Stegostoma tigrinum: one gene and its partner. The protein of the gene in region 1 purifies or fractionates together with the protein of each later gene. This does not show direct contact. Links are inferred from orthologs where the notes say so. Each region holds a gene or a part of one and is shown on either strand. Other genes may lie near its edges. The genes, in order: slc38a9 and lamtor3.

Region 1 (3,924 bases):
TGCATGTATTCAACCTGTCCCTTGCTTCCCTTTTGTTTTAAGAAAAACTGCACTGAAAAATCCTTCAATGTTACAGCAGCACACCTGCAACCAGCAAACACTGGAAACTAATGCTCAGACCTGGTGTTTTTCCCACAACTGACGATTTCTTCTAACAGCATGAAGAGCATTTAGTTTGCTCTCGATGATTTATCCACTTTCACATGTGCTAATTTCATTAATAAATCCTCTTTTCCCCATGTTGATCACATCCATCATTTCACACCTTAACTAAATTATCATCATCCCTTCTTTTCAAGATGGATGGAAAGCATTCGTTAAGATTCACCTTTCTGGCCTTTCATCAGCCCTACTCTTATCTCAATTATCCTCTCACAATGTACTAAGTGGACAGATTTGGATTTACAGAGATAATAGGAACTGCAGATGCTGGAGAATCCAAGATAACAAGGTGTGGAGCTGGATGAACACAGCAGGCCAAGCAGCATCTTCAGAGCAAGAAAGCTGACGTTTCAGGCCTAGTCCCTTCATCAGAAAACGATTTGGGTTTACCACTATTTTGATTTTCTTAACTGAAATTCTTGCATCTCGAAAACACCCGAGTCCTTTCCTATCACAGCAGTGCATTCAGATATCTGTATCCACAGTTCACCAGTTTCATTAACCACACTCTTTATGTTCACATATGGGCACTAAATGTGAAAATTCCATGTCACTATCTGTTCGGATTCTTCTTGCCTCACTTGCTCTATATGGTTCCTTTTTAGTCCTCTTGCGGTTTGTAAGGACTTTCTTCAACAGCCCCACAAGGACTCTTAGCTCCCAGGCCTGTTCAGATGCAACCTACCAAACCCGAAAAGGTCACATCATCTCCAAAGTAGGTTCCAATATCACAAGAATTTAAAGGCCTCCTTCTGCAGCATTTTCTCACCATATCCCACGTATCCTACCCATTTCTACTCCCCGATTACCACGATGGTGATGCCCACAAGAAACCTGGTTTGGTTTTAGGTGCCAAGTAGATCCACATCCCCACCCTTCACCCACTAAGAGCAAAAGAAAAGAGGAGCACTTCATTATTTCACACGTTGGTCATTCGCGGGGTGCCAAACAGAGCAGGCTTTAGGGAAGGCCTCTATAAACTCTACCACGCCGCTGGCCCACCACGAGGATCTGCGCCGGCCATGAACTGACACGTCGCTCCCGTCCACGAGTGGAATGGGGCCGGCCCTTCGTGAGCCTGATGGGTGTGACGGTCAGGCCAGGTGGGCTATCAGGTTCCCCAGGCGGTTGGGCATGTTCCACCTGAAAGTGAACCACGCTCACTTACTGGACCCTCGCCTCCGTTTGGCGCGGTTGGCACACTCACGTGGGGCCAACCACCCCCTAAACGACAGCCTACAATGTCACGTGATCACAGGTGCAGCGGCCTGAAGCACAGCTACGTGGCCATTGTGACGCAGGACGTAATGGAACCCGGGCCCGCGGTAGCGGCCACGAGACCCTCACCAAACGGAACCGCATCTTGCGGGAGATCACTAGAAGCGGTACGCAGAAAAAAACTTCCTACTTCCTCTTTCTATTACTTTTTCTTAAACCCCCAAAAAAACTTACGGGGGAAATTTGACAGGGCAAAACAAAACGATGGATGCGCCAACTATTCTGACGTAATTAAAAAGTAATGTTCGTTTCGTAATACTTAATTCGATGTTAATAATGCTCCACAACTTCATGCAAAGTGGTTTAAAATAGTTGTACTTACTTTAATATGTGAGTCCTAGAGAGTGTGTGTGTATGTGCGCTTGTAAGTCAAAGCACTAACGCAATAAAGTATGAAAGCAAAAATGCCCAAAACATGAAGTTTAAACTATCTAATTATCTTATGCCTTATGCAAATATTTCAGGCGAGACAAAACAACGTAGATAACAATCCCAAACGGCAACGTCAGATCAGTCATCAAAATACTAGCATAAGTGAAAAACTCTCCAAGATAGGCAGGATCAAGTATTTCGCTGAAAAGAACAAATAAACGATCATGCTTCCAGCAAAATCCCAATATTGTACGCATCAAAACAATCTGGTCTACAACTTACCTTCCCGTACAGCACAGTTTGAAATCACTCACAAATTTCCCCCTCTATAAACTGCCAATAAATACGAGCACCGCTTGGATGTTCTCACCTTTAAGTACAGGCTGAAAACAAACCGCACATTTCCGGTGGGTCCTAAACACTCCAGGCTTGTGAGGGAAAGCATGCGTTCCTGATCTAAATATTTACTTAAGAGGAACAGTCCCTTTTGAATAGAGTAATCGTCCTTTCTTGACATTATGCAAACACCATCGTTAACACTAGGTGGCACAGCAATAGTATTACAACATCGTATCAATAGTATTACAACATCGAACCATTACACTCAAAATTACAACATTTTTTGACAAAATATTGCATAAAATATGGAAAAGATGGAAATTAAAAAAACGAGCATTTCCACTGTCAGCACACCAACTTGAGCATGTTTTTGCTATATATTTATACAACATATACAAAATAATTGTTGAACGAAGATTTTATATTGGATTACAGTGGATTAGTGGTTAGCACTACCACCTCACAGCGCCAGAGAATTGCCTTCCATTCCATTCTGGGGTGACTGTAGAGTTTGTACGTTCAGTGTAAATCTATGGGTCCTTCATTATGCCCTTACACATTGGAAGGGTAAACTTCTGTAATGGTTTCATCCCAATGTCAATAACTCTTAGATGCTTGGGCTTGCAAATGGTCCAGCGCAAATTATTGTGCATGAATCACACACCATCAACCCCATACCATGTCCAGTAGCACTGCTGCCCTTTCTGATAAAATGGTTAAAGAATTACTAGAAAAAATCGTAACATAGATATTTGCAGATTTTACACCTTAATTGTATTTTCTATAGTTTTGTTTAACTTCAATACAAAGGCCTTCAGAAATTGCTCACACAGTAGCTTTTTACACATGTTTCAATATCTTATTTTGAGTCTGTCCTACTTGTGCCCAAACATGTGGAAACAGTTCTGCAGCATCTCTCTTTTGTATACCACATTCTCAAAAACTGTCAGTTGATAAATGAGAACTAAGATAGTGGTGAACTTTCAAGTATACTTACTCCGATCCATAACATTTGATTGCCTCCTTTTATGTCTTCCATTCCTCTAAATTTCTTCAATCCTCCTGGTTTGACAACTGTCATTTGACTATTTCCTTGGATAATCCTGCCGTTTCCCTAATTCCAACACTATTGTGATCCCTAGGGCGGCATGGTGGCTCAGTGGTTAGCCGGGTCTCAGGTTCGATTCCAGCCTCAGGCGACTGTCTGTGTGGAGTTTGCACATTCTCCCTGTGTCTGCGTGGGTTTCCTCCGGGTGCTCCGGTTTCCTCCCACAGTCCAAAGATGTGCAGGCTAGGTGGATCAGCCATGCTAAGTTGCCCGTAGTGTTCAGGGGTGTGTGGGTTACAGGGGGATGGGTCTGGGTGGGATGCCTCAAGGGGCAGTGTGGACTTGTTGGGCCGAAGGGCCTGTTTCCACACTGTAGGGAATCTAACCTAATCTACCCCAGATCGTCCTTACGATCTTCCTCATTAAGTATTACTCTAAATTCTCCCTGTCTAACATACCACTGTACCCCCCACCCTGTGCCCCTTCTCTGAATATTCCGCTTCCACTCTATTATACCCTTGTCTCTATGATGTATATTATGATTGTTCTGCACCCATGTCTGCTCTATCCATTACCCAGGATCCTTCCATTTCTTCTAACATCATTCACTTTAATTTCCATTCCTTACAAATCCTTTCTATGCAGCCTGTCAGTCCAATTTTTCTGTTAACCTTTTTTTAAATTAATCCCTGAATGAAACTGTTCCCCGTTTTAAATTAAACCTG
Region 2 (3,924 bases), about 120 Mb from region 1:
AATTCCGATTCCACTCAAGTCTTGAGCTTGTGATTGACAGACAGTCCCAATGCAGTGCGAACGGAGTGCTGCACTGTCGGAGGTATATCTTTTGAATGAGACAAAGTCAAAATACAGTCTTTACCCTCAGGTCAGGCAACTCTTGAGGAATAAGAATTTAGAAATTAGTTTCAGATCAGGGGATTTCTATTCTGATGGAGAAAGAGAAAGAGGTTCTTTTACAAAATGTGTTTGGGTTTTATCATTTTAAGAATTCAATGGCTTGGTAACATATTTCTCAAAAGCAGTTTATGTTATCGTTTTCTTATCAGTGGTGGCATAGATTATAACAGTGGGGGGTGTTCAAGTTGGAGCTGTTCAGAATTTTTGATAGGCCATAGCTGCAGTTCTGGTCACCTCGTAGGATGTATTTATGCTAGAACAGGTACAAAGGAGATGCACCAGCATGTTGCCTGGAAGGGAGCACTTCAGCTGTGAAGAGAGGCGAAATGAACTCTGGTTGTTTCCTTTGGAGCAGAGAAAGTTGCGGGGGGGGGAATGCTGGGGGAAACATTATAGAGGTGTATAAGATTATAAGGAGCATGGACAGAGTGGGTAGAAAGCAGCTGTTCCCCTCATTTGAAGGGTTAATAACTGGGTGGGGAGATGCATAAATTTAACATGTAAGGCTCGATGTTCAGAGGGGATTTGAGGAAAAGCTTTTTCACCCAAAGGGTGTCTAGAATGCACTGCCTGAGAGGATAGTTAAGGTGGGAAGCCTCAACCTTTTTAAAAAGAAATTAGATGGGAGTTTGAAGTGTCAAACACTTTAAGGTTATGGATCTTGTGCAGGAAAGTGTAGGTAGTATATTTCTAGCAGGACAGACATGATGGGCCAAATGGCCTCTTCTGTACTGTATGATTGTTCTTCAATATCCAGGGACATTGCATGCTCGGCAAATTCTTTGTTGCCCTAGGAGTTGGTCACTTTCATACAGTTGCACATTGTAGATTTTAGAAAACTATTTGGAGTAATTGTATCAGAGAGAATGCGAACTGCAGATGCTGGAGAATCTGAGATAACAAAGTGTGGAGCTGGATGAGCACAGCGGGCCAAGCAGCATCTCAGGAGCACTTTTGAAACTGTCATTCTGTTAGCTGAATAACTTTAGGACTGAAAAGTGTATTAGTGCAAAATGAAGTGAAAGCTCCCCTAGTTGTATGTGTCTTTAGTAAAATGCGTTCAGGAAGCAGGGATTTGAATGGTGAATATGGTGGCTGAAGCATGTGGGAAATTCAGCAGCAACATCAAACCATTGGATGCAGAATATATTCTGTTGTTCAGAACTAAATATTCCGATTTTTCTGATATTAAAAATTTTACATTCCTTCACTCCACATGCTCTGTTATAGCATGTTTAATTAGCATATTAAATTGAGCATGCCTTTGCTTATTTTAGTAAGTATCAAAAGATAAAGCCCCGTTTAACACAGGTTTTATGGTTTTGTTTCAGAATTGAGTTTTCTCTGCAACATTTTAAAGAAAGATGGCAGATGTAAGTAATCCTTTCTTAATTACGAAAAAATTGCGTATACTGTTAGGCTACCTATATTGTAGTAAGTTTGAACAGCATATGGAAAATGCCTTCTAATAATTAAGCTGACTAGTACAGTAAATATGATACTACAGTAAGTCATGCAGCCAGTTTCGTAGACAAGGTTCTGTTTGCATCTAAAAATGTAGTGAATAGCATCTGTGGATCCCATGAGCAAGACGTTCTCTTGTTTTATTTCCTAATTATTCAAAAATTAAAATATTAGGCTGTCATCTTCTGTTGGTCTATTTAAGCTTGCTTTGAGCAGAGTTTTCTACAGTGTGCATGCGACTATTGGGCCTGATACCCATAATGCGAGGTTGAAATTTATTTATTGAACATGTGAAAGTTTAATGTGGGTGTGAGTCTTTCCTCTTAGCCTCCTTTCAGCACAGCCTTTGAAAGAGGAAGGTATTATTTTGTGTATATAGGATCTTGCTGTTGAATACTTCATGCGTGAAGGTGAGTGTTAAATAACTGTAACCAGTTGAGACTGGCTTGAATTAAATTTGGATGCAGTTGACATTTTTAAACAATTAATTAAAAATAACTTCATGGCAGTTCTAACTGCCAACTGTTACTGGCGCAGTTAAAGGTTTGAACTTCAATTCATATTCAAGTTGAAAATGTGCAGTATAATTCTACATTTTTACTGCATTCTTCTAATGTGTGTCTTTTCTACAGGATTTGAAGAGATATCTTTACAAACAGTTGCCTAGGTGAGAATGTAAAATAACCCTTCCTCCTCTTCAATCTGTTTCAATTTCTGACTCTCTTCTTTAGATAAGTTTAGACTAGTAACTTTATGTCCAAAATACACAGTAATTCCTCTACTATTACACTGTATATTTCTTAATCGCAGATTTTTCACTCTTCCTTTTATCTTCTAATCTCCTCTTTCCTACAAGTCTGTAATATTATTTCTGGTTGAATAGCAAATATCTTTTCAATATCAATAAATAGCAAAAGAACTGCAGATGCTGTAACTCTGAAACAAAAACAGAAGTTGCTGGAAAACCTCAGCAGGCCTGGCAGCATCTGTGGAGAGAAATCAGAGTTAACGCATTGGGCCCAGTGACCCTTCGTCAGAACTGATAGTAGCTAGGAAAGTGTCGGTTTATGTGCAGAACAGCGTATGTGGAAAGGAGCATTTGATAGTTGGGGATAGAGCTCAAAGACACTAGAACAGTTGAACAGACAAAGGAGTTGATAACAGTCAGGCTGGGAGGGTGAATAGCTGTTAATGGGGACTGTTCGTGACTAACAACAGGTAGTGTGTAATGGCAGGCTATGGGGCTAGGACCTGGGAGAGCTTCTTTTTCTTAGATTAGATTCCCTACAGTGTGGAAACAGGCCCTTCGGCCCAACAAGTCTACACTGCCCTTTGGAGCATCCCACCCAAACTCATCCCCCTATAACCCCCACACCCCTGAACACTACGGGCAATTTAGCATGGCCAATCCACCTAATCTGCACGTCTTTGGACTGTGGGAGGAAACTGGAGCACCCAGAGGAAACCCACGCAGACACGGGGAGAACGTGCAAACTCCGCACAGACAGTTATCTGAGGCTGGAATCGAACCTGGGTCCCTGGCGCTGTGAGGCTGCAGTGCTAACCACTGAGCCACCATGCCACCCAGTTCAGACCTTAAAATTGTTGAATTTGATATAGAGTCCATAGGGTGGTGTTCTTCCAGTTTGTGTTGAGCTTTGCTGGAACACCGCAGTAAGCCTGCGACAGTATTGATAGTTGCTTCCAAACATATGTCTGTTAAGTGGCATTTGGCAATTTCCTCACTATCTCCCACTTCAAGTTGTAATATGCTAGACGTTGTTTCATCTGCAAGTGCCGATGGGTTACTATTGTTGGAAAGCCAGCTTGGAGATGTCTCTAAACCAATGATCAAGTGTGGTGAATGTGCCGTGTAGATATCAATGTTAAACAAACACAATGGGGCATTGTGTGGCAGTTGCTGAGTTTGCCTTCAAACTCAGGCCACGATTAGTTCTCTGGCTCTGTCCTATTTTATTTATGGTAATCTTGCTTTATAAGCTCAGTTGAAAGACTAGTCTGTCACCATCTTGACCTTAATTCTTGGTTTTGCAGCTAATGTATATCAATCAAGAATCTTAGAGGGTTGGTCTCATAACAGAAGCTGCACTTTGCAATCTAAAAGGGTAGCAGTACGGTTACGAGGTAGATAAGACATGTCTATTTGATGCAAGTTAGCCCAGGTTATTTTCTGTGGCAACAGTCAATGCGTCTTTGAAGATTTGAGCTGGTCAGTTGACATTCTAAAGCAGTGTCTGATTCAGTAAGTTGTTCAAACTTTTGTTTAGTTTTAGGTCT

Evidence for each region.
Region 2: the proteins of slc38a9 (region 1) and lamtor3 purify together in Homo sapiens (affinity purification with mass spectrometry; 3 studies listed by BioGRID and IntAct, with this or other methods). This does not show direct contact. The link is inferred for Stegostoma tigrinum from reciprocal best matches to the Homo sapiens genes SLC38A9 and LAMTOR3.

The regions. Positions count from the first base shown.
Region 1 is NC_081354.1:125,217,233-125,221,156, forward strand, and holds the start of slc38a9 (neutral amino acid transporter 9), read left to right. Parts: upstream 1-1,422; 5' UTR 1,423-1,547; exon of another isoform or gene 1,548-1,557; intron 1,558-2,094; exon of another isoform or gene 2,095-2,316; intron 2,317-3,924.
Region 2 is NC_081354.1:4,153,330-4,157,253, forward strand, and holds the start of lamtor3 (ragulator complex protein LAMTOR3), read left to right. Parts: upstream 1-1,491; 5' UTR 1,492-1,526; coding exon 1,527-1,535; intron 1,536-2,258; coding exon 2,259-2,293; intron 2,294-3,924. UniProt on the Homo sapiens protein: As part of the Ragulator complex it is involved in amino acid sensing and activation of mTORC1, a signaling complex promoting cell growth in response to growth factors, energy levels, and amino acids.